Notamacropus eugenii: one gene and its partner. The protein of the gene in region 1 purifies or fractionates together with the protein of each later gene. This does not show direct contact. Links are inferred from orthologs where the notes say so. Each region holds a gene or a part of one and is shown on either strand. Other genes may lie near its edges.

Region 1 (16,556 bases):
TTAAGTCTTAAAGACATTTATCACCAGGCTAGCAAACCTGGGGGCCCTAACAATTCTTGAAGAACTTCTTGGTCGGAGGGACAGCAACATAACACATTAACCAAAGAAATGACAGGTGCTCAAATCATGGAAATACATGAGTATCTAACAAGCCGGATTCCATAATTCCGTTTTTGGCTACAGCGTAAACAGAATTAAAGTGTGTCTGGGGACAGAGGGACAGAGGGCAAGGCAGTGCCTAAAGTCTGCTCCACAGTGAGATGGGTGGCATAAACATTCGTGAATAATGGTCCTGAAATCTGACATTCTATCAGCTTGGTCTGCATTGAGCTCATTATGAAAAAGAATCATCTTACTCTTTGTCCTTGTAATACTCAACTCCTAGCACACTGTGCCTGGTATGGACTGGGTGCTTAAGAAATACCTACTGACTGATTGGTCATCTGGTACTAAGCTAGAAAGAAGGGAAATACATGCTAAAATGCCCTGATCCTTAGGAGGTTTGGGTCATGGCAGCAATGGTAAGCATACTTCTAGAACTTTCCCTGTTCTATCATACCTGCTCCTGACCTACTATCCTCGGGCTGCTAGGTAGGCAAACAAGAGCAAGGCCACTCACCAGAAGCAAAAGATGTAGGTACTTTGGGATTCTATTGGTGCTTACATTTGGAAAGAGGTGGGAATTAAAGGAGAGAGAGAGAGAGAGAGAGAGAGATAGTGTGAGTGTGTGTGTGTGTGTCTGTCTGTCTGTCTGTCTGGAGAGAGAGAGAATATGTAGGTGCTTACAACATGTGAAAAGAGGCAGGGATTAAGGTGGAATGGAAGGGGGTATGAGAAAGAAAGAAGAGAGAAAGAAAGAGAAGGAAGGAAGGAAGGAAGAGAGAGGGAGGGAGAAATAAAGAGAAAGGGAGATTCTATGTGTATTTACAACATTAGAAAAGAGGCAGGGATTAAGAGTGAATGGGGGGCTAGAAGGTATGTAAGAGAGGGAGAGAGAGAAAGAAGGAGAGATTGGTGCTTCCAGCTTTTGAAAGGAGGGATTAAGGGAGTCATGTGGGGGGGGGGGCACACCCTTCCCTTGCAGTGTAGACTTGCTCCAATGACCCAGATCAGGGGCCTCAGTTCAGTTGGAAATCAGGACCAATACCATTCTGCAGGAGCCAAGTAAAAATACCTTACGTTTCACAAACACTTTAAGGATTGCAAAGTGCTTTCTCCACAACAACCCCATAAAGGATTAGCACATTTACTTATTCCTATTTTCCACAGAAAGAAACTGAGTAGTCTTCAGGGGATGAAACGATTCCCCCAAAGTTACACAGTGAATTTCAGAACTGAGACTTGAACTCAATTCTCCCTTCTCCAATATGGACAGTCTTCCCTCTATATCATGGGCAGATCAAAGCAGAGAGCTGGCTGCACTGTGGCTCACTCAGCCCCATTTCCTACTTTTGGCTCCCAGTATGAGCCTTGATTCATTGGGAGGTCTCAGGGGGTTAGACTGGAGACTCAGTACTCAACTTCAAAGTGTACTCACTGGCAGAGCTAATGGCAGGCGGGGTCATTACACAGAGATTCCTCAACCACCTCCCTCCCCTCTTAACCCTCTCCAAGGAGGTTTCCTATTCACATGCTTTCTAGTGATGTCCACTATGACTCCACTGTCAACAAGCTAATGCTGCCCTAAGAAGCAGTCAGGAGTCTACAGGAGTCAGGAGACTATTCAACTATTTCGTGATATTTTCAGAGAAATGCAAATACTCAGTAGGGTAGAGGGGCTGGCAAAATGTTCAGTGTGGAGGTCACTGACTCTCCTGATGTCTACGTCTATGAAGTTGGGGAGCATTCATACTTTAAACCTACTACCCAACATAGCCAGTACAGGTTTCTTCTCTTGAATTACCATTTTTTCTGACCACACTCATCTCTAAATAGTCTGGCCCTGCTTTCCAGACCCAGCAGTCCTTTGTAGCCATCATCATTAGCAGCAACCCTTGAGGAATAGGGGGAGCAGCATGGAGTCCTGAGAGAGAGGAAAGGGCAGCATGTGCCAAGCAGGTCAAACCATCACCACCACCACCACCACCACCATCTCTAACATCTCCCCTAGACCCAAATGGAAACAGCCCAAAACCCTGTGCTTAATGGCTCTGGGAATATCACTTCCTCCTACCCCAAGATGACCAGTCCTTCTTCCAGTCTGCCCCTAAAGCCATCTAGTGAAACAGCCCTTGTGGAGAATGAGCCCACCATCTCTGCCACCACCACCACTAATGGCTGACCAACCACCAGCAATAAATAGTCAGGCAAGGCCAAGAGCACATAAAGAGCACAGCTTGCTAGACTATCAGCTCTGCTTCTAGCCCAGTCCTTAGAGTTCCAGGGAAGCAACTGCAGAGATAAGTCCAGATATCCTCTTATGCCTTAACAGTCAAAGCTGCTGAAGACTCTGAAAAGAAAGCTTTCACCCCAAATCCCTTGGGCATTATTATATGGTTCATCATCAGAAACAGATACAATTTTATCAATGGAAATGAAACTAAAAAGGATGAATTCCTTGCACTCTAAGAAAGATGGGGCCTTTCTATCTGACTTGCAACTAAAACCTCCATGTATTGTCTCTCTCATTAGATTATGAACTGTTAACTACACAGGCTTTTCTACTACAGGTATCCCTAGTGATTAGCACAGTGCTCTGCACATAGTAAACATTTAACGAATGCTTTTTTTTCATTCATTCGTCCACCTGCCTTTTTCTAAGTTAGGCTCACCTCATCCTAACTCCACTAATCTAGGCACTTGTGTCCTGCACTAACTGATCTGATAAGTGGTCATTTTCTCCAGTTTCTGACCAGTTAGTGTCCCTCAATAGCCAACAATGACTGAATAAAACAGGAAGGTGTGATATAACCCAGCTCGTGGCTTAAAAAACAAAATTGCTAATCCCTGGATTAACTGCCTGATTCTGTAGCCTCCTTCTCTCCCACAAGGTCTATAAAAGCACAGGCTCCCTAGCTCCTTCACTCAAATGTTATGAGCAGAGGATGAATGTACGAAAATGATTCTGCGTAGGCCAGCACACTTTTATAGGTGCACACAGAATTATTACTTTTAAATACAAAAGCCCATGTGCATATAGATTTGTCCATCTCCAATCTTATTAATAAATTTTCTTTTAAAAAAACTAAAGTATAATATATTTGATTAACAGTAGTCTTTCTCATTTATAATGACCATCTGGATTACCAAGAAGGGAAAATCAGATAGCAGTGTTTCCCCAAAACATAATTTTGGTAAATATTTAAATAGGAAGGGACCTAAAAGGCCATTAAATCCAACATCCTCGATTTACAGATGAGCAAACTAAGGCAAAGAAATATTAAGTGACTTATCCAGGGTCACCTAGGTAATAAGTATCTGTGGCAGAATTTGAATTCAAGTCTTTCTCTTAGCCACTATATTACTCAGCCTCCTCTTTCCACATCAATGATACATTAAGAGATTAGTAATTATTTTTTATTCTATGACAACTTAAAGAGTAGTAGTAAACTAAAGTTTTGTTCATTTGATTTTCCAAAAACCAGGAATTCCAAAAGTAAACCTAAATCAACTTTTCTATTACATTGACATATTCAGAACAGGCATTATTATTAGCAAGGTGCAACAAAGCACCAAAGATCACTTGACTGCGAGAAGTAACATAAAAGATCCCATCAATGAAACCTGAATGACCTGCAAAGGAAGTGGGCTTCACAAAGACAGACATTCTGCACTGGCACTTCTTGGTCAAAAAAATTTGCCACCCTACAGTCAATCCGACGGTCAGCATTTAGCAACATGAAAAGACAGCTGGGTGTCCCAGAAGTCATCTGGATTAGCCCATTAAAATTTCTGGGACACCATGAATCCCTTGGGACATATTAAAAGTCGTTCTCCTTTGGTCCAATCTGCCAGAGCCTGAAAAAGGATAAAAAGGTATGAAGGGTTTCAAAATCTATGCATGCCTCCTTAGACCAATAGTTCTTCATGTTTTTTGCACAATAGAGGCCGCCCTCTGACAGTCTGGTTAAGCCTATGGACTCTTTTCTTTCAGAAAGTCTTTAAATGAATTAAATAAAACACATGATTACAAAAAAAACTCAATTATACTGAAATGCAATTATCAAAATACTTCAGACTCCAGATTTGGAACCCTGGTCCTAGGGAAAACACTGAAGTGAAATATAAGCAAATAATTCAACTTAATCTATTTAGATACATAATTATTTTGAAACATCACATTAGTTTAGTATAAGTAATAAATAAATTCTTTAAAATGTTTTTAATACACAAAGCCAGAATGAAAGTCATAGGAAAAACATAAGATTTTATGACTCTGGGAATGTTCTTTGGACCTTAAACTGTTATCTTCTGTACCTGAAGTGTCTGGTCAAAAAGCTTAGTTTCATAAAACTTACTACGATATGGAAAGCAAATTGTTTGTAACTAATGAAAATCACATAAAAAAGTCACCCACAGGTTAAGGTTTACAGTATTGAAAAAAAAAAACTACAGTCCTGATAAGAGTGAAGCTGAGAAGAATAGGAGAAATACAAGGAGAAAATATGTATCTTCATTTAAAAAAATGAGGAAATAAGTTAGGAAAGGTAAGAAACACTGAGTGAAGGAGTGTGGGGGCTGTGAGGCAACATACAATGTCTGGGGTGGGGGGGATCCCATCTACTTCAGATTCAACAGGTAAACAGGTATGAATTATTTCACACAAACCAAATCTCAATTTAATAATAAAATACTAGCATTTGAAGGCTTCTTGAAGATCCACTCTAACCCCTTCAGCCTGCTTAAACTGTAGATCTTGATCCCTGAGTCCAACACCTTCATTTTAGAGAAGTTAATTGACTTGCCCAAGATAAAATCAGTAGCATTGCCAGGGTCAGCATTTCTGATCACTTTCAGTCTACTAAATGCCCCCATTATAGATATCCAATTATTTATTATGCATTTAATTACTGTACATGACAAGTGAATGTTATATATATTCAATGGGTGTGTAGCAACAGGTGTCACAAAGCATATTTACTGCTTTAAAAAAAACAATCTCTGTTGCTAAATGACTTCCAGACTTGGAGCACCTCAGAATTAGAAAGGAAGGCAAACAGGGAGAAGCATGGTGAGGGTAAGAAGACTGGAACATATAATAAAAAAGGAACTCAGAATTGGAGTAAAGGATTTCATTAGGAAAACATGATCAAAAAGGAGATGACAAGAGTGATGGATAACATCCATCCAATATTCTCTTTACTAGAGGAGAAATTGAGCAAGGCTTCCAATACAACAGGCAGACCTCCATAACAAATTTATGGGAAGACCCAGAAAACAGCTGCATGGGATTGACAGGTGTACTCACCTAAATGGATGACATCACATCATTTAAATATTTAAGGTAATCACAATCCCTATAACCCCTACTTCCCTGCCTCCACTTATCTATATTGGCATACAGAATCTTAGATTTAGCAGAGACATCACAAGACATCTAATCTAACCTTTACCCATAAAACATACTTGTCTATAGCGTCTTTCTAGTGCCTGTTCAGCCTCTTTAATCAAACACTTCCAGTGATGGGGACCTCATTACTCCACTAATGGCCAGTACACAAGTACAGCTTGTTCCTTTTGAAGGCACTTACAACTTTTAGAAAAGTGTTCCCTATGTTGCACTTAAATTTTCTTCCCTGTAACTCCCATTCACTAATTCTAATTCTACCTCAGAGGGCCACATCTCATCTCTTTCATTTGACAACCCAATTAATTTATGTATTTAAAGCAATACTCATCAAAATAGCAAGAAGCTTCTTCATAAAATTAGACAAAATTACACACAATTAAATTCAGAGAAGAAATATCAAGTATTACTCCAAAAAGAAAAGATGATAGAGATAGTCTTGTACATGATAGCTTTAAAACACATACCAGTTATTATTTAGCAAGTTATTATTTTTAATTATTTAGCAAACCTCTCTGGGCCTTATTTTCCTTATCTGCAAAAAAAAAAAATAAAAGGATCAGACTTTGACCTCTAGGGTTCCTTCCAACTCTAGATATTCAAAGACGACTACCATGCTCTCATGTGTATTCCCTCCCCCCTAAAGTCTCCTCTCTTCCTTGGATGATGTAATGGATATCCTGCTAGGCTTAGAGTCAGGAAGCTCCCACTTCTATAACTTACTAATTGTATGACCAAACCAAAGGTAAGTCACAACTTGTGTTTCAATTTCTTCATCTGTAGGATGGGGAAAGTGATACCTGTAAAACTTATCTCACAGGCTGATTCAAATAATGTATGTTAAGGGCTTTGCAGACCTTAAAGCTATTATAATGTATAATTATCATTATTATTGTTGAGATGACTATTATTGTGGTTTCTAGTTTCTTTACCATCCTGACTACCTTTTCCTGCAAACACTTCAGTTAGTCAATGTTCCTCGCAAATGTCAGGCTCATAGAGGGACAGAACCTCCTAGATGTTGTATGACCAAGGAAGGTACAGTGAGATTGCCACCTTCTCAGAGGAACAAGAGTCACCTTTCAAAATGATTTGTCTGTAATGTTTGTACAACTGGAACTAACTTTTAAAGCAGCATCTAGAACTGCCAGGAACTTCCTGCATGACCTCTAAAGAACCATTTCCCTATCCCTGGGCCTCATTTTACTCACCTGCCAAATGTCAGTGGAACTAGAGGATCTCAAAGACCCCTTCCACTTCTATCAGCCCATGCTTCTTTAGCTCTAAGTTACAGACATTCCTATCACTTTCTTTTTTCAATATTTTCAATGAAAAAACGAGTAATTCTACTCTGAAAGGAAATCATAAGATAAATTTAGTGGGCAGGCCCTGTTTCTACTTTCCCAGAATTAAAGGTAAAAACTACCTTCAATCAATAACTGCACCTTCTGAAAGAGGCACATCTTAGCTCCAGAAAACAAAAAAAACACAAAATTTAAAACACCCTCTTTTTACCTAGTTTTTTCTCATATTTCTCTGACTTCAGTGTATATCATGAGACTTAAAGATACATGATGGACCATGTACATACAGTAGGAAGGAGGAGGATGGATTGCCCTCAGAATTTGTCGGTTCATTCTCCTTATGCTGAGCTATATACTGTAGCTTAAATTAGTTACTACAGGCACCAAAAAATTTTGCATCTTCCTACGGGTTTGAAGTAATGCAAAGCCAACATTTTAAAAAAGTGAGCTAAAAGCATCCTCTCCTCATCTCATGCACTTGTTCACTATAGAAATAGACTTGCTAGTCTCCTGCTGGTGGCATTCCAAAGGAACCTGAGAACCCCAGGGGGCATCTTATCTGATCGGTTCACTTTCAGAAAGAAAACCGGCTCTTTGGAATCAGAAAAGAAACATTGTTAGTGTCTTTGAAATTACTACGCTTTTGTTACATTTTAACACCTTCACCACCACCCCCAGTCCTAGTTTTCCAGGCAGAAAGCAAAGTGTTTTAGCAGAACCTAAAACCCCTTCTCCAAACTGTTCCTTCCACCCTAATCCCACTTTAATTAGGTTCATAGGAGTTTGGGGGCGGGGGGGGGGGGGCGAAATTAATCATGCAGGTAGGAGATGCCTTGCAAATAAAGTTCATAGCCATACCACGAATACCCTTCCTCCTCCCCCTCTGAGAAGATATTTAGGGGTTTCTTTTTCTTAAATCATCAGAACTACTAGTTGCAGTGGGGAAACCAAGGCGGGGGGTGCGGGGGGTGGCGAAGTGATGCAGTTGTTTGCAGAGGGCACAAAAAATCAAAGGAGAAGTCGCAGGGAGGGACGAAAATATTAAAATGAAAAACCCCTGGCCAAGAAGAAATAGACCAGAGAAAGGGGTAGGCGGGGAGAACCCCTGGACAAGATGAAATAGACCTGGGGGAGAGGCCGGGGAGTAGAACCTTCTCCCAGTCACCGGGCCCTGTCTGGATCCCTAAGGAGAGTTGAGGGGCCTCAGGGCCCTCCCCTTCCCAACAACCTACTTTATCCCTAGTTCGGGGGTAAAGTGCCCAGCAAAGAAGCCAGTCTCGAGTCACATGATTACCCAATCCCACGTTGGAAACAATCGGGTCTTGGGGCCGGGCCCTAGGATGAGGACGGGAGGGTGGAAAACAACCAGGGATTAGCCCCATTCCGTCCATCCAAGGATGCAGACTCGGGCACAGCACTTTCCCCGGTGCAAAGAAAAGGGTCCTGTCCCTGTAAACGTAGGGTCCCGGGCTCAGGGATGCAAAAGGTGTCTCACTCTGCTCGCTAAGCCCCGAACTTTTATTCGCTCCTTCTACTTCCCCCTCCCGCCCGAGGGGCTCCCCGCGGGGGTCGGGCACTCACGTATCGGTTGATGAGAGTCCGGATGAAGCTGCAGTCTATGGTTCCTGCCATGGTACCTGCGGGATGAAGCCCCCCGCGCCGGCGCAGCTCCTCGCTCCCCTAGGCGAGCCTCAGCTCGGGGTCGCCTTATCTCTCCCTACTCCTCCTCGGCACGGCCATGGACTTGCTGCTACATCGGTCTCCGGAGCTGACAAGAGGCGAGCGCACGCGCCCAGCCCGGGGCCCCCGTCAGGCTCCGCTGGGCTCCCTCGCTGCCTGGCCGCCTGCCTCCTTCGCTCTTCTCTCGGGTCTCCCGCCTCAATCACGCCCGCAGCAGCTCAGGCTGCCAGCCGGGGGGCGCACGGGGCACTCGCGGGGCGGCACCTCCCGGCTCATGCCCTCCTTCCCGGCCCTGTCCCGAGCCCTGGGCAGAGCGCGGCCACCTGGCTGCTCCCAGGGCACTGCACGGAGTGGGGAAGCCCAGGAGAAGGAATGGTTTTGGTGGGGATGGGGGGAGGTGGGTCTGCTGTAGGTGGTTGGCTCGTTCGCTTTCTCTTGCCACCCCCTCACCCTCCCCAGGCTGGAATCGGCTTTTCTCTCGGGAGGGCTGCCGGGAGGAGTCTCCTCCTCCCGCCTCGGGCGACCCTGGTCGGGGTTCTGCTCTCTTCCCTCCCGAGCTCGCAGTGGCTATCCGTTCGGGCTCTTCAGCCCAGCCCAGGCTCTCCGCTCACCTCCCCCTCCAAGAGCTTGGGCTCTTTGATCCTTCCCAGGCAATTCTGGCGGCGAACGTCACGACCCGCGTGTGAGCATGCGCCCCAAAAGCTACACGCCTCCTCCCGCTCCCCCTGCCCCGCAACACACACACACACGCATACAGACACACACATACACACACACGCGCACACACACACACGCACCGAGACTGCCCAGGCGCGCGCGCGCGGTCACGGACCATCAGGTCTCCCCTTTTCCTCCGGGGTTCCTCCTCCTCCTCTTAGAGGAGGCTCCTTATTTCGCAGTCCTTCCACCGCCTCTCCAGAAGCACATCCCCAGTAGTTTTACCCAATGCCTTCCTTCCCTCCCCGCGGCCTCTTCGCCGAATTCACACAGAAATTGGCGAGTTTCTGCATTGGAATGGGAAGGCGGAGTGGACGCGCAGGAGGGAAGCGGGAACACGGAGAGTCAGAGCGCAACCCCGGGCCTTGCCAGGCCACGGAGGAGGACGAGGCGCGGAGCCTTAACTTGGGAAGGCAACAGGCCCAAGGGCGCCTCACGAGGCTGGCCAGCCTAGGAGATCTAGGCAGCAGCTCTCCCCGGCCTCACCCTGTTGCTACCAGAAGCCCGGGGCATGAGTGGGAAGGATGGGGTTGGAGGAGAGAGAGCTGAGAGAGGTTTTTAGTTTGTTTGGAAGTTTATACCCATTGCACTTTGTGAGCGTGTTTACAAACAGAGGTGGGCCTGGGTATAAAGTACCCCGACTGTTTCTAGGTGAAAGCTTAAGGGAGCATCTGAGCTTGCCCTCGGATAGCGTGATAGAGGCAGGCTTCCCTTGTAACTGTGGCGTCTATCGTTCCTTCTCGTTGTGATCAACAACCATAGAACCTGGGCACTTTTATTCCCTATCCTCTTCCTCTAAGGGAAATGAGGTTGAATCGAGGAAGAAAGGTCAAGTAGCCTGTGGCTGAAAACGGCGGTGCCAGGGGATGGAGAAGGAATGAATCCCCAGGTACGCAGGCTTGGGACGCTGCCGGTGCTGATGCTGTTGCAAGGGCTCTACGTTTCTTCACGTGCACCTACCTCCCAGGGGAGCGCTCTCCCCAATCACCCCACTATCTGTGATTGTGTCTAAGGTGACTTCACAGCGTAGTGTAGCGGACAGCGGGGGAAATGGAACTCGCCAAGGCTGCTGAGATCCAGGAAACAGCAAAGGAGATGCGTTGCCTAGGATCCCAGCCTGCTGGGGCTCGGTTTCTGGGCTGCTCTTGCAATTCTCAGGCTAAGGGGGGTCGGGGGCAGAGACAAAGCTGCGGCAGCTAGCTGTGAGACCCTAGCTCCCAGAAGGGAGACGCTAATAGCCCGGGGCTTTTCTGTTCCCAGTTCCTTCGGGAGTGGGGTTGTTTGGTCTGTGCAGTGGTATACACTGAGCGTAAGGAAATTTAGCACTTAAGGATATTTGGAGAAAGATCAAGGCCAAGCGCCAGTCCCTCCCACTTCACAGATGGGAAAACAGCGGCAGCTCTGTTCGTAAAGTGACTCGCCCAAAGTCATATAGCTAATTAGCAGTAGTCTAAAAACGAGAAGTCAGATTTCTTGACCCAAAGAACAAGCCTGTAATTGATTTGTATCCCTGAGACCCAACTGATTACCTGGAATCCTCTATTTAACTCTGCTTCTCAGGCCTCTGGAAATATTTTCCATTACGCTTTCTGGGGAGGGAAAGCGGGGGGGTTTAGGGGAGAAGGGGAGTGTTGGGGGGGAGGGAAAGAGGTGGAGAATGAAGGACGGGTTAAGAATAAATCCTTTACCAAACTTCAACTCCTTCCCTCAGTACTTAGGCTAATCCCTCCCACCCCAATTAGAGGGGCACTCAATCAGTATGTCAGCCCTCCAACCCAAAAGGCAAGCCGCTCCATGGCAAAGACCCAAGTGGTGGACAAAATATCCATCCATATGGATCTGTATGTCCCGGAATGCAGGGCGGGGTGAGTTTGGGAGAAAAGAGGGAAGTCGGATTTTACGTTCTTTTTAGCTCCTGGCATGTACAATTTATACAAGGAGCGGGGGGGGGGGGGGGGGGGGGGGGGGGGGGAGTATTGACTGGGAAATCATGCTACCTGGACCTTGTTGCCAGCTGTGCCTTTAAATGTGTCTTTGGGTCTCAGTTTCCTCCTCTGTTAAAAAGAAGGTTGTTCTAGATAATCCCTAACATCCCTTATAGCTCTAGAAGTACGCTATAAAACAGGATGACAATTTGAAGTTTTCAGTATTGATTTCATTGGCTAAAGTCAGAGTGCATAGCATCCCCTTAATTATCCACCACAATTCAATCTTGATATGTTAAAAAAAATTTTTTCTTCTAGCTCTTGTTGATGGTCATTTGTGACACATGAAAAAAGGAGAGAAGAGTATTAGATTGAATTTTGTTTGCTTGCTTTTAAAATGCCTTCAATTTCTGAAATGCTTAACAGAAGTCACGCAAACAAATAATTCCCACAAAGCTGTTCTTGAATGCTTATTTTGTGGTTTGCTGTCCTCCATTTTAACAATACTGAAAAATTTTACTAATTTTGGGAAAAGTAAGTCTGAATTAATGAAAAGTCCATTGGTTAATTTTGTTTTTTAGCAGAAGTGCAATTTTATTGCTTTCAGGAATAGATTACTCAAAACTAGCTTTATTATTTATTAGGTTAGCATAGGAACTTGCTTTAAGGAATTAATAGGAAAGAATTATAATTAGCATCAATTATGGCTAAATAGGTTCTGCCTTTTGAGTTTGTGAAAAGGATTAATTAGCTAAAGTATTTTAAATATCCTCCCAGCAAACTTGTCTACACTTGCCAAAGACAAACTTGAGTCCCTGTCTAAATTATGGCCAATTCTGGATTGAAATCATTGAATTTTAGAGCTGGAAAAGGCCCGAGACATCATTTAGTATATCTCCTTCACTTTACAGTTAAGACAGTTGTAGCCCAGGAACTTGCCCAGAGTTAAATATAACTAGCTAGTGGCAAAGGGAGTACTAACCTAATCTAAGTTTTGTGGTTCTTCCTGTGCCTTCTATGAGAACATAATCTCTCTACTATATAACAGAATAATTCTTTCATATCACATCATCATTATAGCTCATCCTTATATAGAGCCAGTTTTGCAAAGCTTATTTACATACATTGTCTTTCCTAAGAGCAGAAGCTGAAAAAAGACAAAAATTTAAAAAAAAATTCTCTCAAAGCCTGATCCCTTAATTCTTACCTGAAACTTTTTCCACTATACTACATTGCCTCTCGTTCTTTGCCTTTTTCTCTAATTATTTATGGGTGTGTTTCTGTCTCTTCATCTAGATCGTAAACTTCTATGGGTACATAAACCATGAAATTTACCTCTTTCATATGCATGTTTTTTAAAAATCTGGACTTACAATTTCATCCTGTAAAGAACTATAGGAGTAGAGACTCCATCAATGCAGCTTATATACTATAACATAGTATTAGAGAGCTGCTTCTGGCATTGAGAGGGTAAGTAATTTGCCCCAGGGTCATTCATATCCTAGGAGTCTGAGGCAAAACTTGAAAGCAGTTCTTTCTTATTCAAAGGCTAATCTTATATCCTCTACATCTGCATCATTGGTAGATATTATATGTTCAATGAGTATTTTATTATATTTGTATTTGATTGATATTTGATTATATATGTATACTTATTTTATATATTATTGATTATTTATTGATTTATTGATACAACGACTAAGATAACAGAGGCACTAGACTTGGAATCAGAGAACTTGGACTCAAATCCCACTCTATGAGTTACTGCTGTGACCTTGAGGAAATTAACTTCTCTGGGCCTGTTTTTTCATCTGTTAAATGAGGGAGATGGACTCTATGAACTCTATATCCTTCCAACTCTACATCTGTGATATGATGAATTCCATTTTACAAATGATGAATTGAAACATAAAAAAAGGTTCAGTACCTTCCCTACAGCCAAATACGTTACTCCTGACAGAAAGGGTTTCTAGTTTCCCTGACTTTTAGTCCAATTGTTTTTTTCACTGTGTGAAAACAGAGCCATTGTTCATTAAGACTTCACTAATAATAATCAATGGTTCTATGATGTCTGTATGGGTTAGGACAAGCTATGTATATATGCCCTGAGGTTTGCTGATTTGAACTTCCAGAACTGCCAACAAATTGTTTTGTATATAATGTGCACTCAGCTCTTTGTGGAATGAGATTAAAAAAGGGAAAGAAGTCAAGGCACTATGAAGCCTTGGACTCATAGATATCTTTCTTGAGTCCTCAAATTGCGAGTACCCCAAACCCTGCCACCAACCAGTCAAATCTCTGTGTTTCATATATTGTTCAAAGAAATCTAGGTTGTGGCCTTGCCCAAATCAATTGAGGCAAACTCAAAGTAAGACCAGGATTTTACTCATACACCAAGGCAGGACACTCTGGTAGCCTGACCAGATTTCATCTGTGTTCTGCTTTTTATGGACAGGAGTAAACAATTTCCATACAATAGAAAGACAGTCTTGACTGATGCACATAATCTATGAAGAGATAGGATTAGGGTCACTTTAGCCCCACCCTTATTACAGTATCACAGGGAAATGGATTAAAGGAGCATGCTCACTACCGTCTACAGCAGCTGCCATGTACTCAAACTTATAAACAATGTTTTAAACTGGAGTCTCCCAGACTGACTCAACACAGTGGCTGATTTCCCACAGTATATTCTGTATGTACTTATATGTGAACATATTGTATCCCTGTTTCACCACCACCACCCCCAGGAGAATTTAAGCTCTTTTAGGGAAGGAACTATTTCATTCTTAGATTTATTTACCTGCTAAAGTAAATGTTTGTTGACTAACTGAGTTATAGGTGGGAAAGTTCTTTGCCAATTTCAATTGTGACATCTCAATTAGTGCGAATAATACTTTGAAATGGTTGAATGTATTCAAATTTATACATCTGTATAATTATGTAAAATAGGGTAATTATTCCCAGCACAGTGGAAATATGCAGTGTAAAATCAAATGCAGTCATTTCTCAGGATTTATTATTTGAACTAATCAGACCCTGTATAAAAATGGTTCATGTCCATATCATACTTTTATTTTTTTTAATGAATCTTCCATCTTGTCAATGTGGGTACTCTTTTCCCAACCCGTCCATACCCTATGAATCCTATGTGACTCTTGTCCATGTTTTTCCATAAATTCTGCACTGTGCTTGACTCTTTCCTCAGTGTTCTGTGGATACCAATGGAATACTCAGGCCATCCATTAAGTATCCTCCATCTCATTCTATAACTGGCTCACTTTCTTTTCTTGTCATTCATCTGATGGCATCCTTGATTCCATTTCTCTTGTGCAATTCATTGTTCTTAAACTATTTCAGTATAATATACTCGTCAGGTACCTCTCCATTGTGCTTTGGGTGGTTTGAAACCTTAATTCTACAGAAACTGTGGTATTCAATGATTCAGAGACATACTTTGGCGTTGGAAAAATATTTCTTTTTAAAAAGATAGGGCTTTGTTTTAGGGAAAAGCTTATAGTCTATAAAAGTACTATATAATTTCCTAAAGAGAATCTAGTCCATATTATACTGGAGAGGATTTTGGTATGGCAAATAAAAACTCATGAGTGAGTCTATGGGGAAGAACAATTGAAGTAACTGGAATCATATTTCTGAGAAATAGTTGTCTAGATGATAGCCATATAGCATCATGTTTTGAATATCAACTGTATGCAGAACTTTGTACCAAAAGAAGCAATTTCCTCATGCTATATAAATGATCTTTATGGTGGAGAAGATGATGATGAAGAAGAATTACATTTTATAAAGTACTTTCAGTAAAGAAAATCAAATGCAGCTCACCAAAAATTCATTTCTAATGCAATGTAGCATGTCAATCAAAAACTCAACTGACTTTACTAGTGACTACAATTCATCAAATCATTTCTTGTGAAACAAGTCATGGCTAATCATGGATTCTTTACTTCCTGCAAGGAATTTACTTGCAAGGGCATTTAAGTTCCTTTCAAAAAGTTCCCTAAACACAGGCTTCACAGAAGTGCCAATCCAATTGAGCAAGTAGCACTTCATTCAATTTCTTAATCCCAGATATCTGGACACTTTGAACCCTACATGTTTAATTCCAAACTACTGACGGAAGTTGATTCTTTAAACACTACAATGTTGAGTGGAATTTTGCCACTAAAATAATTAGAAAGAACTCTTTTGCAAAAGTAGAAAGACTATGGATATGTTGTAATATTACATGTAACATCAACTTTTTTTACATGCTGATTAGTTTTATAAGTTTTTTATTTCTCTTTTAACAAAATTCATTATTATAAGGGATGGCTCAAGGAAGGACACAGTGGGACATGTAAATGATGGTAAATGACAATATATTTTTTAAAAAGCATTAGTAAAAAGAAGAAAAGAAAAAAACCTAAGGTAACTTGTGTCATGAATCCATCATGTGGGCCAATCTTTTTGTATGTACTGTTTTTGCTTCTGCAGAAAATGCTAATAATTTCTTTGACTAGAGATTTTAGACTTGCTTTTTCTCTGTCCATCTCATCTTTTCCATCTTTGAAAAATTTTCTTCCCTCAGGTATTCAACCTCAGGTTGGGTATGAGTCACAGGAATGAGTCAGGAATTGCAAGTGTTTTCCTAAAACAATACAATATTCATTATGCAAATAAGGTCACAGGAAACTTTTTTCTTCTGTTTCATATTGTGGAGTTGTCTGTCCCAAAATGAGCTGAGTGAGAATTTACTCTGACTGTAGGCTTTTCCGTTTCTTTAAAACTTTTTATTTAGTGAGGAAACATCAGAGACAAATCTGATTAAAACTTTTTTTTCCCTTTCTCTCATCTTTTTACCTTTTTTTATACTAGCCTCTCCTTGTCAAATAGGAACACTGTTTTTACCACTGTAAACCATTGCTTTCAATTTCAGTTGCTCATTAGAAAAAAAAACCCTGAAGTTCTCTCATCATTAGAATTAAAAACAAACTAACAAAAAAGAGCCCGCTGCTCATTTTGAGTTGAAAATATTTTTTAAATACAATATTACTCCTACTCTTCATACAAAATAAAAATGATAGGGCATCTAAAATTTTAGTCTGATGATGGCAAGCAATTCATTTATATTCTCTTTTGAATTTTATGACAATAAAGACACATTAACATTATATGTATAAAGTGTTTTGGTGCAGGAAGGAAAGACAAAGGCCACCAGCCCCACCCCACCTCTGAAGTGGGTCTACATAAAGTTCAGGGTGACCTATGTGGCCTTGAATGTAAAGGTCAGGAGTGTAATATGATAAAAGTTGGAAAGTATTTACTCACCCAAATGTCAAGTAGACCTGGAAGAACTCCTGCTGAAGGTGAAGCAAAGTACTAAAAAAAGATGAACATCATCTAAGGGACTCTCTGCTGTGCTGA
Region 2 (15,883 bases), on another chromosome or scaffold:
TGCATTTCCAACAGTTTTCTATGCATTTTTTTAAATTGATGTCCTACTGTCACCTTAAGGTCAACCTTAAATCAAGATGATCATTAATTTTTAGATGAAAAAGAGACCCTAAACATATCTAGTCAAATCCCTTTCATTTTAAAGATATGAACATCAAAACACAGAGCACCTAAATGATTTGTCTACAGGCACATAGCTAGTGGGTCCCAGAATTTAAGCCAGAACTCAGATCTTCTGACTTTTAGTGCAATTCTCATTCAACTACACCTTGCCTCTCACTTCCCCAATAATTTTTTTAAAAGTTCCCCTTCCATGATGCCCCATTTCTGTTATTAGTACCATTATTCTCCTAAAACACCCAGGCTGAATTCTTCTCCCTCACTCCCACAAGTCAAATAAATCAAGCCAGTCATAACTCTTCTTTTGTACCTCAATGGCATCCACCCTATTCCTTTCCATTCTCCCAGCTACTACCCTAATCCAAGATCTTATCAATGTATGGTACTCCATTTTAATAGTTTCAGTTATCTCTGCAACCTAAACTGCACATTTCTAACAAATTCACCTACTTGAAACAAAGCTACAAAATGCCCTCTCCAGGCTCAAAAAACAAAACAAAACAAAATAAAAAACCTCTCTTTCCCCCCATATCACCTACGATGGTCTACAGAATAAAGTTCAAATATTTCAGTTGCACATTCAAGACTCCCTACTAATTTTAACCCCAACCAGTTTCTCCAACCATACCTTACAATATATACTCTCTCACATGAAATTTCTCCTCCAATCAAATGGAGAACACATATATATTCTCAACACACATATATTCTTCTGTGTCTTTACTCACATTTCCTCACCCTCAACAACCTTTACCTTTTGATACAGAATATTTTCCCATTTTATCTGTTTTATCAAAATCCAATATCACTTTCTACAACTAGCTCAAATATCAAGTCATCTACGAACAGAAATGAACTCTTTTTAGTAGAAAGGCTTAAGAAATTGTACCAGATGAATGTGATGAAATATTATTGTCCCATAGATATGATGAATATAAGGAATTCTGAGAAACATGGGATGGCATACGAATTGATACAGACAAGTAAATAGAAGCAGGAAAAACAATATACACAATGATGGATACAATGACAAAGAAGAACAGCTATGTAATTAATCACCAATGCAGGCCATAGAGAAGAGATGAGACAACAAAATAACACAATGGAAAGAACATTGGCTCTTCTCTTTTTGGACCTGAGTTCAAATTCTGCCTCTGCTTTTACTCTGAGGGGCAGCTGGGTGGCACAGTGGATTAAGTGGTGGATCTGCAGTCAAGAAGACTCATCTTCCTGAGTTCAAATCTGACCTCAGACACTTACTAGCTGTGTAATCCTGAGCACGTCACTTAAACCCTGTTTGCCTCAGTTCCTCATCTGTAAAATGAGCTGGAGAAGGAAACAGCAAACCACTCTACTATCTCTGCCAAGAAAACCCCAAATGGGGTCACAAAGAGTCCAACGTGACTGAGAAACAACTGAACTGAATTTACTGTGAGACCTGAGAAAAGTCACTTCACTTCAGCTACATCATACAATAAAAATGAAGATATTAGTCTAGATGGCTTCTGGGATCCCTCCCAGCTCTAGATCTATGACCCTTACAATAATCTTTTGTTAGAGAGGTGAGAAACTATGGGTTAATAATTTTGCATACACTGTCAAATAAGGTTAATATGTCAGATGGCTTTGCTTAACACAAGGGAAGGCTAACTGGTAGAGAGATGATATAAAAACAATAGTTACCAATAAGATTTGTTTTCAGAAAAGCAAGTTCTTGCTCTTTTCTAAACTCCAAAATCTTTACTTGTTTGGCATTTTACACTCTGCCTTATATTCCTAGAATTATAAAAGTTAGTAGGGATTTTACATATCACCTCATCCAACTTCCTATCTTTAATGCGTGAATTTCTTCAATATCTCTAATAAGTGAACACTTAGCCTATCTGAACACTTTGTACTATTAGTGGCAGACCCAGGAGCATGACATTTGACCAAATTTAAGCCTGAAAAGTTGGAAGTCAATCTATAAAAACAGACCTGAAGAAATCTTTACTCAATCCTACTAGCTCTCTTTAAGAGAAGGGGAAGGAAAGAACTGAGAGCAAACACTAGTGGCTAATAGTATACAGATATTACTTCAATATGAAAATCTGCCTCCTGGTAGAGACAACTATTTACAAGAAGTCATTTAAAATAATGAATAAATAATTTACAAAACAACAGGTCTCACCAATTTAATAACTATTTCTATCCTGGGGAGAAAACTGATAGCTAAAAAAATGCCTACAGTATGATATACTAGAAATAGTATTAGACAGTATATAAGAGCTCATTTCTGGTTTCTTCTGTACTAATAAATCACCATGAGCAAGGTATCTAAATTATCTGAATCACTATTTTCTCATCTATAAAATGAGGGGCTTGGACTAACATGGACTAGATGACTTATAATGTCCCTTCCCTTTATCTCACCAATATACTTATGTGCCCTGGACCAAGGACCATGTCTTATACTTTGTAGTATCTACAGTGCCTACATACACTGATGCTCACTACAAATTTACTAACTGATTAAAATCTCTTACAAATTTAATAGATCAACAACACCCTTACTCAAGTGGTGTACAGGGTTCTTCATCAGTTGAAACTTCAAGGATGGCTGGTTCTCCTAATGTCCATTTTGTAATGAATCTGTTGGATATAATACCTGTGAATGAAACAAGTTTTGTACTAAAGATAATGAGTCAGACCTTTTCTATTACAGTTAGAAAGAAAAAAGTACTTGGGGCAATAACAAGCACCAAGGAGTTCTAGGAGCAGCTTAGGTTCCATTATTTTAAAAAATTCATGCTTATTAAATGTCAAAAGAATGAAAGGTACAATGCAGCATACAATGACTGGCTAGTTACCTGCCAGGTAAGCTTAAGTCTTAAAGACAATAAACCAGAAGCAAAAGAGAACAACAGATGATGATGAATAGATTAGCTATGGGCTTATTGGGTTTCTCAGTTTTGTTTTCCTATCATTGCAAATGTTCCCCTAAATCAAACTGAACTGTTCTCCTTGGTAATTCTAAAAACATGTTCTATTTCCTAAGAGTATAAGACCAATGCTATGGAAAAGGTAGAATGAAAGACTATGCACTTTTTACACTGTACAGAAGTAGTGGAAAACTTCTATTTCTGAATGTAACTCAGCTCTAAAGGAGATCAATATAAGATCTGTATTAAGTAACTCAACAAAATGCTGAGTAACAAAGTATGTTACCAGTAGAATTAAGCACATTAATATCAAAATGGAATTCTATGTCCTATCTTAGAAAAACAATCCCATGAAAGTATTTTAGTGATGAATGGAAAAATGTTATTCTGTTTGAATGAACTATTTCTGGTTGATAAAATATGAAGTCATCAGAACACTAAATTTTAAGTTACTTGACCCCAAGCAGGTACTAATTTAGTCTTATAGTTTCTCCTACATATATATACAAGGCGATGTAACTCAAGCAGATTCAGAAAGTTAAAAAAAAATTACAATACTCTGAATTATATCTCATTTATAATCAACATTAGATTTAAATTTCTTTTTAAAAAGCAAGTGTCAGATTTAAGCAAAAAAAATTCAGAACACAGAAATGTCACAGAACTGTATTCAAAGATTTTCTTACATGTGTAAGAGTCTCACTCTGTGACCTTAATTTTCACTTTAAAATAATTTTGTCTAATTTTAAAGGATCAATTTCTACTAAATAACTTTTTCCTAAAACCCAGTCAAAAGCATTTCTTTAATGTCAATTATGCATAAAGCACTGCTTTAAAATACTTGTCAGTTAGAAATCTATTCTTATGATACTTAAAGAGAAATCTGTTTTTATGATACTTAAAGAGATTCTTAGGGACCAGACAGACAGACAGACGGACAGACACACAGACACACACACACACACAAACACACACACACACACCAGCAAAAAAGTATTGTTAAAAACAAGTGATAAAATAACCAGAGATACAAAAGAACCAATAATAAGAATCAGTGTTACAAGAAGAGAGAAAGAAGCATGTGATTCATTTGAGATCATGGAGGCAAGCCTACAAAAGTTATTAGAATCAGGTAGAACTAGTCCTCTAAGGCTAAATAGCTCTGAAGATAAAAAGGACCAAAGTTTAGGTTGTCAAAATGGTATCTTAATTCAGAATACCTTTTGAGGTTTTATAGGATCAGAGATTTAGAGCTGCAAGTGACCTTAGATATTTAGTCCTACCTCCTCACAAAGAAGAAGGTGAGGTCCAGAAAGGTTCACTGATTTGTACAAAGTGAAATAGGCAGCAAGTGGCAAAGATCAACTTCAAACCCAAGTCCTCTGACTCCAATCTCAGTACTCTTTCCACTACACCACAATTTACAAAAATAATCCTGCTTGATGTCTTTTTAATCTCATTACAGATAGTAACTTAAAACTGGACTACATTCCAGGGCATAACTATGTCCCAGTTAATATCTACATTAAATTCAAGAATACTCTCGCTTGGCCTCCTCCAAGTTAGCTCAATACAACTTACATTACAAATTCATTATTCTTGAGCCATAACTAATATTGAGGCCTTGGCCTTAAAAAAAATTACTTTTGTTTCAGAACATTTTAACTATTCCCCACTTATCATTATACACACTTCAAGAAAATACTAATTTATTCCCTGATGTATTTCAACAATTTGTGACATGATTAAACATTAAAAATGTTTTTAAAGAATTATACAAATTAAATTGAGTCTCATGCAAAGGGTATTGAAAAGTTATGTGGTAGGTGTAAGCAGAATACAAAAAGCACCAATCAGTAACTGTGTAAAGAGAAGCAGAGTAAAAGACAGCAAAGGATTTACTGGAGGATATGAACCTTGTTCATATCTGCATGGTTATTTAGAGTATCTACACACTGAGGAAAACACAGATCAATTGACAAACATACTTCAAAGTATGAAAGCAGATAAATTACAATAACACAATTCCTATTAATTTTATTTTATTTATACTAGGCAAATCTAAAAACACCACCAAACAAAAATAGACATATTTCATGGGAGAAATAAGCAGGCTGTCAGCTACAAGCATTAGAATATGGAAAGAACAAGCACCTTTTTCAGGAGTCCAAGGTAACCTATAGACAATTAATTACTCTTTTTGTAACATTCCTTGGTGGCAGATAATTATCAACTGATTTTATCTCAGACTTGAAAATCTGAAGCAGAATGCAAGAATATCCTAATCTTCAAATGAAACCCTTTATAAAAGTGCCAAAGTTTACTTTGCCTTGGTATGCTAGCGTAGTACAATGAAATGACGACAAAGAAATTGAGATATGGGGAAATAAATTTAAAAGGTGGTGGAGGCTTACGGTTTCTTAGTCATGACAAGAACTTCCTGTTACACAGCTGCATGAAAACACAACATACTTTGGGCTACATACTTGTTTAGGCAAATGTGAAACCCTGGGTATAACTGGCAGTGTTTGGGGAAATTATCTGGATTTTTATATGCTAAAGAGATAGTCATTTCTTCAAGTCTCCAAAAGTAACAAAATTTTAAAATAAGAATCTATAAAAGATCTAAAATTAGAATCAGAATATTAAAATTAAAAGAAATGTTAGAAATCATTTAGTTCAACTTTCTCATTCTACAAAACCAAAGCTAAAATTATAAAATTTCTCATATTGTAATAAAAGAAGCCTGGATTTGAAATGAGTAGATAGGGGTTCAAGTTCCAGCTCTGCTATTCACTATCGCTATTACCTATTTTCACTAATGTTGGTACTTCCTCTGTCCCTGATACACATAATTTCAGGAGTTTCTGAGACCAAGAATATTCATTACCAGAAGCTTGCCTAGCTGGTGATGAATTTTTTGACCCTAGGAACTACAATGTACCTCTATGAATTTATCTCCTCAGCCAAACACATAGAACTTGTGGTCTCACATGCCTTCTAGGATGCAATTAAACAAGAAAAAATTACAAACAAGAAAGCAGACACCTGTGCACTTTTTGATAAGGCATATACCAATTAAAAAAAAAAAAAGGAATAACCCTAAAAGCCCTACTAGAATACACATATAAGCCCCAAAGGACTATAAAGCTATTTGTACTCTTTTACAAAAACTGGATAAGGAAATAAAAGTAGTTTTAAAAAAACGGGCAGGGGAGGGATCAAAAAACTTCAGTATTCATCCCTCATCTTTTATTTTTGGGGTTTTGTTTTGGGCAGGCGATCAAAATTAAGTGACTTGTCCAGGGTCACACAGCTAGTAATTGTCTAAGGTCAATTTTGAGCTCAGATCCTCCTGATTCCAGGGCCAGTGCTCAATTCAACTGGCCACTTAGCTGCCCCCCATCCCTCTCCTTTTAAAAGTAACAAAATAGGCAGAGAGAAAATATATAGTTGCATAGAACATGGGGAGTAATGCAATTTATTTACTGGTAGAATGGAGATTCTAAAATGGTACTTTAACCTTATTTTTCCCAATACAGAGAGCCAGATGGAAAGACACAAGACAGTGCTCTATCTCCTTGCATCCAGTCTCTCCTCTCTCCAAATCCTCCTTCACGGTATAACTGCTAAATTGATACATCCAACTTACAGGTCTGACCAAGCCACTTCTCTTGTTAAAGAAGCTTCAGTAACACTCCACTGCCTTTAGGTCAAAATACAAGTTTCTCCACTAGACATTTAAAATCTTGCACAATCTAGCTCCAACCTAGTTTTCTGGCATTATTCAGATGACTCCCTTTCAAATATTCTACCTTCCAGTCAAATTGGCCCACTTGCCATTTTCCGTATCTTAATTCTTTGATTTACAGGTTATCTATTGGCCTCCCCCCTCCCCACTCCCCCATGCAATGTGCTGCAACCTCACTCATGCCTTTTGGAACCCCTACTTCCCTTCCAGGCTTAGCAACTGTCACCTCCTACAAAGCACCTCCTTATTCCCCCAACTGGTAGTGGCCCTGACATCACTGCACATTTTCAAATATATATCCTTTATTTATAAGGCAAAGACTATCTCACTTTTTTATTTATATCCTCAGCTCCTGGTACATAGTAGGCACTTAATAAAAGTTTATTGATTACTGTTTTCCAAGAAGCCATTAATGGAAGACTGGCTCTTGGCTGTCTGAAAATAACCCTGGCTTTCATCAATGCTGCTACCCTACCAACAAAAGTACAGTAGTCATCTCAGTGCTTTAAGATGATGCTCTCTCCCCACTCCAAGACCTGCCTTCTTTTTTTTTAATCTGCAGAACTGCTTAGACCACATCTCTGAGGATTATGATGAACAGGATTAGTAATAAGAGAACTAAATTACGATACAAAACGTTAAAAACCTTAAAACAGAAGTGACATTTCAAAGTTTGATTAACCTCATACTTTATAACTAAAAAGACCTGTTTATACCCAAACCTAGAGGTTATCTGTGTAATGCTCTTTCATGCACCGGCACCATCACCAATATCAACGTGTTTCTGATTCCTTTTCCCCACAATCCAGGGGCTAACCCTGCTGTCCACAAGCTCACAGCCAGGTAACTACACCGTAACATTTTAAATTCCCTCTGCCCGTCCAGCCAGCCATCCCTTGGCTTCACTTCCTGCAGGAAGGCTGTTAACAGCACCCTGCTGTCATGCAGAGAGACGAGTCAGCAAAGTGTCAAGATACACTTGTCATAATGAAGGGGCTTTCTCCCCCACCCCCTCCAAAGCCAAACCAAAACAACAAAACAAACAACCCCTCCACCGCTGCCCTCATCCGATCGTTATCCGCCTTAGTCACAGCCCGGAGGAAATCCCGGAAGACTCCAGAGCAAGATGGACAGCGCACCGGTCCCGAGAGCAAGGGCAGGTAAACAGACGCGGAGGCGGCCGAGGGCGGTGAGGGGGCAGCGGACACCTCGGGCTCCCACGGCCCCCTCGGGCTCCCACGGCCCCTGCCCCTCCGTCCTTCAGTCCCTCACCTCAAACTCGCGGATGTTGTTGGAGGTGACGAAAACGCCGATGCCGATGGGGATGAAGATGAGGCCGACGATGAAGAAGGCCGGCAGCACGGTGCCCGCGGTCAGGATGGGCTGCCAAGCCGGGAGCCGCTGCTGCTTGAAGGCCGTGTTGTCCGGCCGTCGGCTCTTCGGCCCGCCGCCCCCAATCGCATTCCCGGGCCCCGCATGGCTGCCCACCACCAGGCTCGACCCGTGCCCGCCGTCCACCTCGTCCTTAGCGTTATAGTTGATCGCCATCAACCCCTGGGGCCCGGCTCCCGGTCACGCGGAGGAGCCTCCGAGGGGACGCAGCCGCCGAATGTGACAGGAGACCGGGAGGGGGAGGAGGAGGAGGAGCAGCCGCCGCTGCTGTCGGGGCGGAAGGGGCGGGACGCCCTCGCGCGGGGGACCGCTGAACCGGAAACTGGCGTCAGCGGGGGGCGCCAGAGGAAGGGAAGGCGGAAGGGTGAAGAGGCGGAGGGGAGGGGCGGATGCGCGGTCTGGATAACCGTCCGCCTGGCGTCTCCGGGGAAGCTCGTACCCGCAGGAGAACTGACGGGCCGGGCTTGGCGCACGCGCAGCCGCCGGGCCCCTGCGCCTGAGTGACGCGCGACGCCCGCCTCCTAGTTTCCCTTACGGGTTTAACCTACGAGGTGCAGTTGTCCTGGAGTTACCTCCCAGCCTCCTAGGTTGTACCCGGAGATCGGAGAGGCCTAGATCTAGAACCTGAAGACCCTTTAGCAGTCAGCTAATCACAACAATCACCCCAACTCGTTTTACTAAAGCCCGGAGAGTGATTTGTGCAAGACCTCCCATCAGTGGCAGAGCTGGAATCGAACTCGGGACCTTGACGCACCTTCCGCTTTTGAAGGCCTGGAGAAACTACTGGGAAAGAATGTTGTTAACGCGTGTCCGACTCTGTGTCACCCCACGCGACCCCACGTTGGTGGGGTTTTCATGGTCTGCCATTTGACTCTGCCAGGCTCACGCACCACGTGTCTGAGGCCACATTGGAACGCGGGTGTTCCCGACTCCAGCTCCAGCTCCAGCGCTGTGCCCACCGAGCCACCCAGCAGCCTTTGTAAGGGAGGAGGAAGCTTTGGTTTTCCCAACGGGCCAGAAAGCCCAGGACCTTCCTTGGTAGACCCCCCCCCCCCCCCCCCCCCCCCCACCTCACTCAACTGCAGAAACATAAAATGCCTGAGCTTGAAACAGTATCAGCGTCAGACAGTATCAGACGATCCTGGCCTTCGGGTGGCTAGCGAGGAAACTTGTGTCCTGCGCAGGGGACCGGACTCGCTGGAAGTGGTCTCACTGAGTGGTCCCTTGGGGATTGTTGGAAAAACATTGCTATGGAACAGAACCCAGACTCAAAAGCAACAGTTTTTAACGAATCAACATTTCTGCCTGCTAATTTCCTCCTGAAAGCCACTTAGGATCTTCCCTCTTTGTTTCCCATTATGGAGTCATCCTATCTGGGACATAGCTGCTGGATGAAGGCGCTCTAACATCCACTCTGGGGATGACAGGAATTTTTGTTTGTTTTTCTTTGTCTAAGGAAGGCCAAGAAAGGGAAATGGAAGGAAGTGTGTGTGTTTGATAGTTGGCTGTTCTATATTTAAGTCAGTAGGATAGCCTGCGATTCTTTGGTGGGATTGGTTGGCCCTTGCAATTTTTAGTATTTCCTTAAAAGCGTGTTGTACTGAAACGTGGCAGCATCTATCACTGAAGTCAGTGAATGGTTTTACCCTACACTTGTTTTGATCTGTGCTGTTTTGACCTTGTCCATAGCTTTAGGTTTGGGAGGGAGGAAGCATGAAGCAAATAATCATTTATTTCTTTCTGTTAAATAACACGGTAAAAATGCATGCAATTATAAAGTGGATAGCAAATATCAGGAACAGTTTCTTCCAGTGTGGTACTGGCCTTCCTCACCCTCACTACAGAGTGGACTCAATGACCTCTAAGTGCCCTTCTAGCTCTAAATATATGGGTATGTGGGAAACAAGGAAGTTCTGGGTGATAAGAGTTGTAACTTAGTATGGTCAGGTTAGAGGTCAGAAGCTACTCCTAGTCTTTTATTTAAGAAAAGTGAGAAGGTCACTGGATGGCTAACAATGATTAGACCAGGTAGAGGCAGCTAGGTGGAGCAGTGGATAGAGTACCAGCCCTGGAGTCAGGAGGACCTGAATTCAAATCCAGCCTCAGACACTTTCTAGCTGTTTGGTTCCAAGCAAGTCACTAAATTGCCTCCAAACAACAACAAAAAATTAGACCAACAGGTTACAGTGAGTGCTGGATCTAATGACTAACCTAGATTTGAGTCCTGGATTTCTACCACCCCCTCTGTAACCTTGGGCAAGTCATTCTACCTGGTCGGCCTTAATTTCTTCATTTGTAAAATGAGGGAAGAAACAGGGTAGGGAGGAGATTTAACCAAATTCTGTCTGGGAATCAAAAGGCCTGTGTAGAAAGGGGAGGAATAACTTACGTAATTTGTGTGTATCCATAAAATAGGGATAATAATAGCACCTCTACCTCAAACAAAATAACAAAATGCTTTGCAAATCTTTGAAGCACTGTATAAATGCTAGATGTAATTTATACTATTTGTATTCTTTTGTAGATGAAATAAAAATTGTCCTATATTATTTTTTTAATAGTTTTAGAGGAGTTTGACCTTTTAAATGACATCTATGAAGACTTAAGCTATCAATCAAGTCATAGTCTGATATTTCCAGGAGAAAAAAGTGTTTATTAAGTACTTAGTGTAAATCACTGTGCTAAGGGAGAAACTTGAGTAGTATCAAAGGCCAAAGAATGGTTTTTGAGAAGCCAAAGAAATTTAATTTGGTCTTTAAAAATGCAGAGTACATGATTCTTGGCCACTAGGAAAGAAAAAAAGGGATAAAAAAATTCAACAGTTTAGGTTGAAAGCTTAGGAAAATAGGAACATGGAAGAAATCTGCTTTCTTTTTTTAGCATTTGACAAAATTATCATACTAAAAACACATTTGTTTGTTAGATTCTTTTGAAAAAGTTAAAAGATGTTTTATCCTTCACAACTAAATAATTCCCCACTGGAAATTAACTAAATGCTCCTTTATCTTAGTTGAAACTTTCAACCTATACTGTTGCCTCTTTTATTATCTTTCACCTTTCATATTGGCCCAGAACTCTACAAATTCTCCTAGAAATCTTAAATATTTGAGTAGTTCTTGATTTGCAAGAAAAGACCAGGATTATTTTTCTAATTAATTATGGAAGTCTCCGCCAACATCCCCCTACTTCCTTATCATAGCATGGAAGTGACCCTGGGTTCTCAAAAGCTATGTCAATAGGACATAAGCATTGTTTGTTCCAGCTATAAAAACTTTTGATTATGGTCCCAATGACAATGTCAAGAGGCAACTAGGCAGCCCAGTGGATAGAGTGCTGGCCTGGAGTCAGGAAGACCTAAGTTTAAATCCTACCTCAGACTCTGGGCAAGTCACTTAACCTCTGTTTGCCTTAATCCACTGTGGCAAGCCACAACCATAATTTTGCCAAGAAAACCCCATGGACAGTATAGTTCACAAGGTCACAAAGAGTCAGATACAACAACAACAACCAATGACGAACTCTTTGCTACCTTTCAAGCAGTCCAGCTAGATTTTGAAAGGTAAATCAACAGGTTAGCTACAAATTGATACATATTTTGGCTACAACAACACACAACTCTTTTGTTTTCCTTTTTTTTGTTGTTTTTTTCTTTTTCGTACTTTATCGATGACCTCTCCCCTTTTTCTTTTAACAACACTGCCTGCCAGTTCCCAATGATTCTCCCAATAACAAAACCATCTCTTGTAAGAAATAAGCACATTTAAGAAAAACAAATTAACATATTTGTCATATATGAAATTACATGACTTTTTCTACTCCTGCACTCTGCTATTTTTCTGTAAAAAGGGAAGAGACATATTTCACCATCATTCCTGAGGTCAAATTAGTTACTATGTTGTTCAAAGTTCTTAAGTTTTCAGTATTGTTGTCCTTTATATCAGTGTTGTCATTGTATAAATTGTCTCCTGGTCCTGCTTTCTTTGCCCTGTCAATTTATATAAGGCTTCTCAAGTTTCTCTGAAGTCTTCATATTTGTCATTTGTTATAGTAAAACATTGTTCTATTAAATTCATATATTACAGTTTGTTCAGCCATCATCCAGTTGATGGGCAGTTTTTTGCCACCACAAAAGTGCTACTATAAATATTTTTATACATAGAGAGCTTTCCTGTTGCCTTTGACTTCCATGATACATAGGCTTCACTTTGATATGTATGTACAATTTAGTGCTTTTTCTTAGTATAATTCCTAATGATATCCAAACAGGTCAGTTTACAACTCAGCTATCAATGAGTATCTTCCCATAACAACTCCAACATTTACCATTTTCTTCTTTTGTCATATTTACCAGTCTTATGGTACAAGATAAAAACCTCAAGGTTTAATATACATTTCTTCTATTATTAATGATAATGTAGCAATTTTGTAGGGCAATTAGATGGCACAGTGGATACAACAGTGGCGCTGGTCAGGAGGACCCGAGTTCAAATCCAACATCAGACACTTACTAGCTATATGACACAACCCTGTTTGCCCTAGTTCTTCTTCTATAAAGTGAGCTGAAGAATGAAACAGCAAACCGCTGTACTATCTCTGCCAAGAAAACCCCAAATGAAATCATGCAGACTATGAAATGACTTCACAACAAAAGAAGTATTTTTTCATATAGTTGATGGTAGTTTGCGTTTCTTCTTCTGAAAATTGTCTATTCAAGAGATTACTTCAAGATGGCAGAATAAATGAGAGCAGAAGAGCCCCACTCTCCTACTCCAGAAAGGATGAAAAATTAGCACCATACCAAATAATGATCAAGAAATCTAAAGAGAGATTGTGTTGCATTTTACAGCCTATGGTGACACAAAAGAGAAAATCAAAAGCAAAGGATTTTAGCAAGAAAAGTCCACTTCAAAATCACACTGAACAGAAGCTTTCCAAATCTGGAATATGTAGCTAAGTACCCAGGAACAGGGAGATAAGAACATGGATTTACTGGTTTAACCTACTAGATGCAATCTTTTCTGAGGTTACCTTCAAAGCTATATAGCAATATTACTCAGAACTCAGACTGAAGGTCAGGAACCTGCAAGGTTCAGATCAGGAAGGCAAAGATAAGGTCAAGCTATGGATTATCCTGGTATAGATTGCTGTCCCAAACTTCTAGATCTTCTTGAAGAACACAACGTAAGAGTCCCTGGAGGAAGCAGTGACAGAACCCTACAAAATGATCAGTACCAAATAAGACCCCACCATTGCTTCCAAAAGTATGCAGTCTGATTCTGACACAAAGTCTCAATTTAGGAGGTAGGACTGCAAAAATGAATAAACAAAAGAAAACCCTACTGATAAATATTGTATCTCCAGGAATACTGAAGCCACAAATTTAGAAAAAGAGAACTCCACACAATACACAATCTACAATGAAAACCTCAAGCAAAAATACAGTTTACTACAAGTTTTACAGAATTCCTGGGAAAAATGAAACAAGTTTAAAAATAATATAAATGAAAGCACTGGAAGAAAAAATAGGAAATTAAACGAGCCCAAACAAAATTATGATATGACAAAACAACTACCTAGTATCATATTTCAAGAAATCATGAATGAAAACTGCCTAGATCTACTGAAACCAGAGGGCAGTGTGAAAACAGAAAGTATCTACTATCACCTCCTGAAAAAAAAAAACATGAAAAATTCCCACAAATGTCAGAGCCAAAATCCAGAGCCACACAGTCAAAAATTCTACAGAAGTCAAGAAGCCAAAAAGAAAGAATTCAAGTATTGAGGAGAATAAGGATCACACAAGACTTGGCAGCTACACCTATAAAGGGTAGGGGATCTTAGAATATGCTATTCCATAAGACAAAAGATGAAGGTACAAAGGTTTACAATCAAGAATAACATTTTTGGAAAAACTGAATATATTCCTATGGGTTGGGGGGGAGGGGGGAACTAAACCTCTAATGAAATGGTGAACTTCTAATGATTTTTGATGAAAAGACCAGAGCTGAATAGATACTTGAAATGCAAAGAAAAAAGTCAAGAGAAACATAGAAAGGTAAATGCATTTGAACAATTGGAAGGGGTATATGATGAAATGTTTACATTATAGGGAGAAAAAAACAACAGGTGTTTCATTAGAACACTAATGCCATTAACTGTTATAAAGGAAGTAAGTAATATAAAGAACCTAGTTCTTTGTAGTTCCTTGTAAGCCAGTTACCAGGTCACACCATAAGAATTGCTTCTCTCTATGATATCTAAAGAAGCCAGGCTAGAACAGGACCAGTACTTTTGGGGCACTACTTTTACTGAGGCTCTTTAGGTTGTCTTGCCTGGGGTCTGAAGGGAGATGGTGGTTGAAATTGTGGCAGTGGTTTGACCTACATGGCACTTACTGCCTCTTGTTTCTCCCTCATTATACTCAGCAGGAAAATAGGTAGGGGCAAAGAAGGGCATGGAGCATTAAGCATAGACAGGAAGAGGTAGGAATTAGGTGGGAATTATAAGCAAAAGAAACTCATTTTCAGAGAGTTAATAGATAAGGGGTAAATGAAAATGGAAAAGCGTACTGAGACCTGTGATTGAGATCTTGACAAGGGGAAGAGGGAGTAGAATAAATGCAAATGGCATCTACTATAGATCATTGGTGTTACCACACTTCTCCCTCACCACTCTATTCTTCGTAAAGAATGTAGCAGAATGGATTGGAAAATAATCCAACAATACATTGTTTAAGAAACATACTTTAAATATTCATGCAGATTTAAATAAAGGGCTGGAGCAAAATCTGTTATGCTTTTGAAGAATTTTAAAAGCATGTCTGGTAGGAGGAAAATCCTAATTTCTCCCCTTTGTTACCTCCATGCAAGATGGGCTTTTTTTATTCCTTATGAGAAGCTGAAAATGCCTTAGAAACCTGATTGGGTCAGGATTCTAAAGGCTCAGACTCTTGACAACAGTTCTGGATATCTGAATACAAGGAACTCCAGACGTTCTGTTACTATGGTTGTTGTTCATCCTTCGTTCTCAGAGGCATTCTAGTGTTTGGCTGATGGACCAGGATGGGTAATGGACAGAAGAGCTTTGCTCTACTGAGTCCATTGTGTCATTCAATGCATATGTTTTTCAATATCCTTCAGCTATGAATAGGTAAATCTTTAGTTAATTACAGAATAACCCACGAGTGTCTCATTTCTTTCTGATACCAAACATAAACCACCAGGGTACTGGCCTGAGATAGTGGCAGCCTAGAACAACAGAGCTAGCAAATATGATCTCAGATAAAGCAACTTAATTAGAAGGGATAAAGAGGGAAATTACATCAGGCTTTAAGGCATGATAGACAATAAATTAATATCAATACTTAATATATGTTCACTAAATGGTATGTGTGTTTGTCCTTTGTTGCCGAAGAAGACCATGCCATCAGAGAAATAATGGCATGACTTGCACTTGACTTTGCTTTGAGTGAGGGAGGGCTGTGCAGGTCACCAGCCTCACTTCTCCTCCAAAGCCATCTGAATCCAGTAACCAGATATTCTTCAGGATGACTGGAGATGGACCAGGATGAGGCAATTGGGGTTAAGTGACTTGCCCAAGGTCATACAGCTGGTGAGTGTCAAGTGTTTGAGGTGAGATTTGAACCCAGGTCCTCCTGACTCCTGTGCTGGTGCTCTATCCACTGCGCCACCTAGCTGCCC

What was found.
Region 2: the proteins of ATP11A (region 1) and TMEM30A purify together in Homo sapiens (co-immunoprecipitation; 4 studies listed by BioGRID and IntAct, with this or other methods). This does not show direct contact. The link is inferred for Notamacropus eugenii from reciprocal best matches to the Homo sapiens genes ATP11A and TMEM30A.

What each region holds. Positions count from the first base shown.
Region 1 is NC_092877.1:208,823,033-208,839,588, forward strand, and holds the start of ATP11A (phospholipid-transporting ATPase IH), read right to left. Parts: upstream 8,523-16,556; 5' UTR 8,443-8,522; coding exon 8,392-8,442; intron 1-8,391. UniProt on the Homo sapiens protein: Catalytic component of a P4-ATPase flippase complex which catalyzes the hydrolysis of ATP coupled to the transport of aminophospholipids, phosphatidylserines (PS) and phosphatidylethanolamines (PE), from the outer to the inner leaflet of the plasma membrane.
Region 2 is NC_092873.1:145,183,850-145,199,732, forward strand, and holds the start of TMEM30A (cell cycle control protein 50A), read right to left. Parts: upstream 8,479-15,883; 5' UTR 8,340-8,478; coding exon 8,064-8,339; intron 7,952-8,063; exon of another isoform or gene 7,677-7,951; intron 1-7,676. UniProt on the Homo sapiens protein: Accessory component of a P4-ATPase flippase complex which catalyzes the hydrolysis of ATP coupled to the transport of aminophospholipids from the outer to the inner leaflet of various membranes and ensures the maintenance of asymmetric distribution of phospholipids.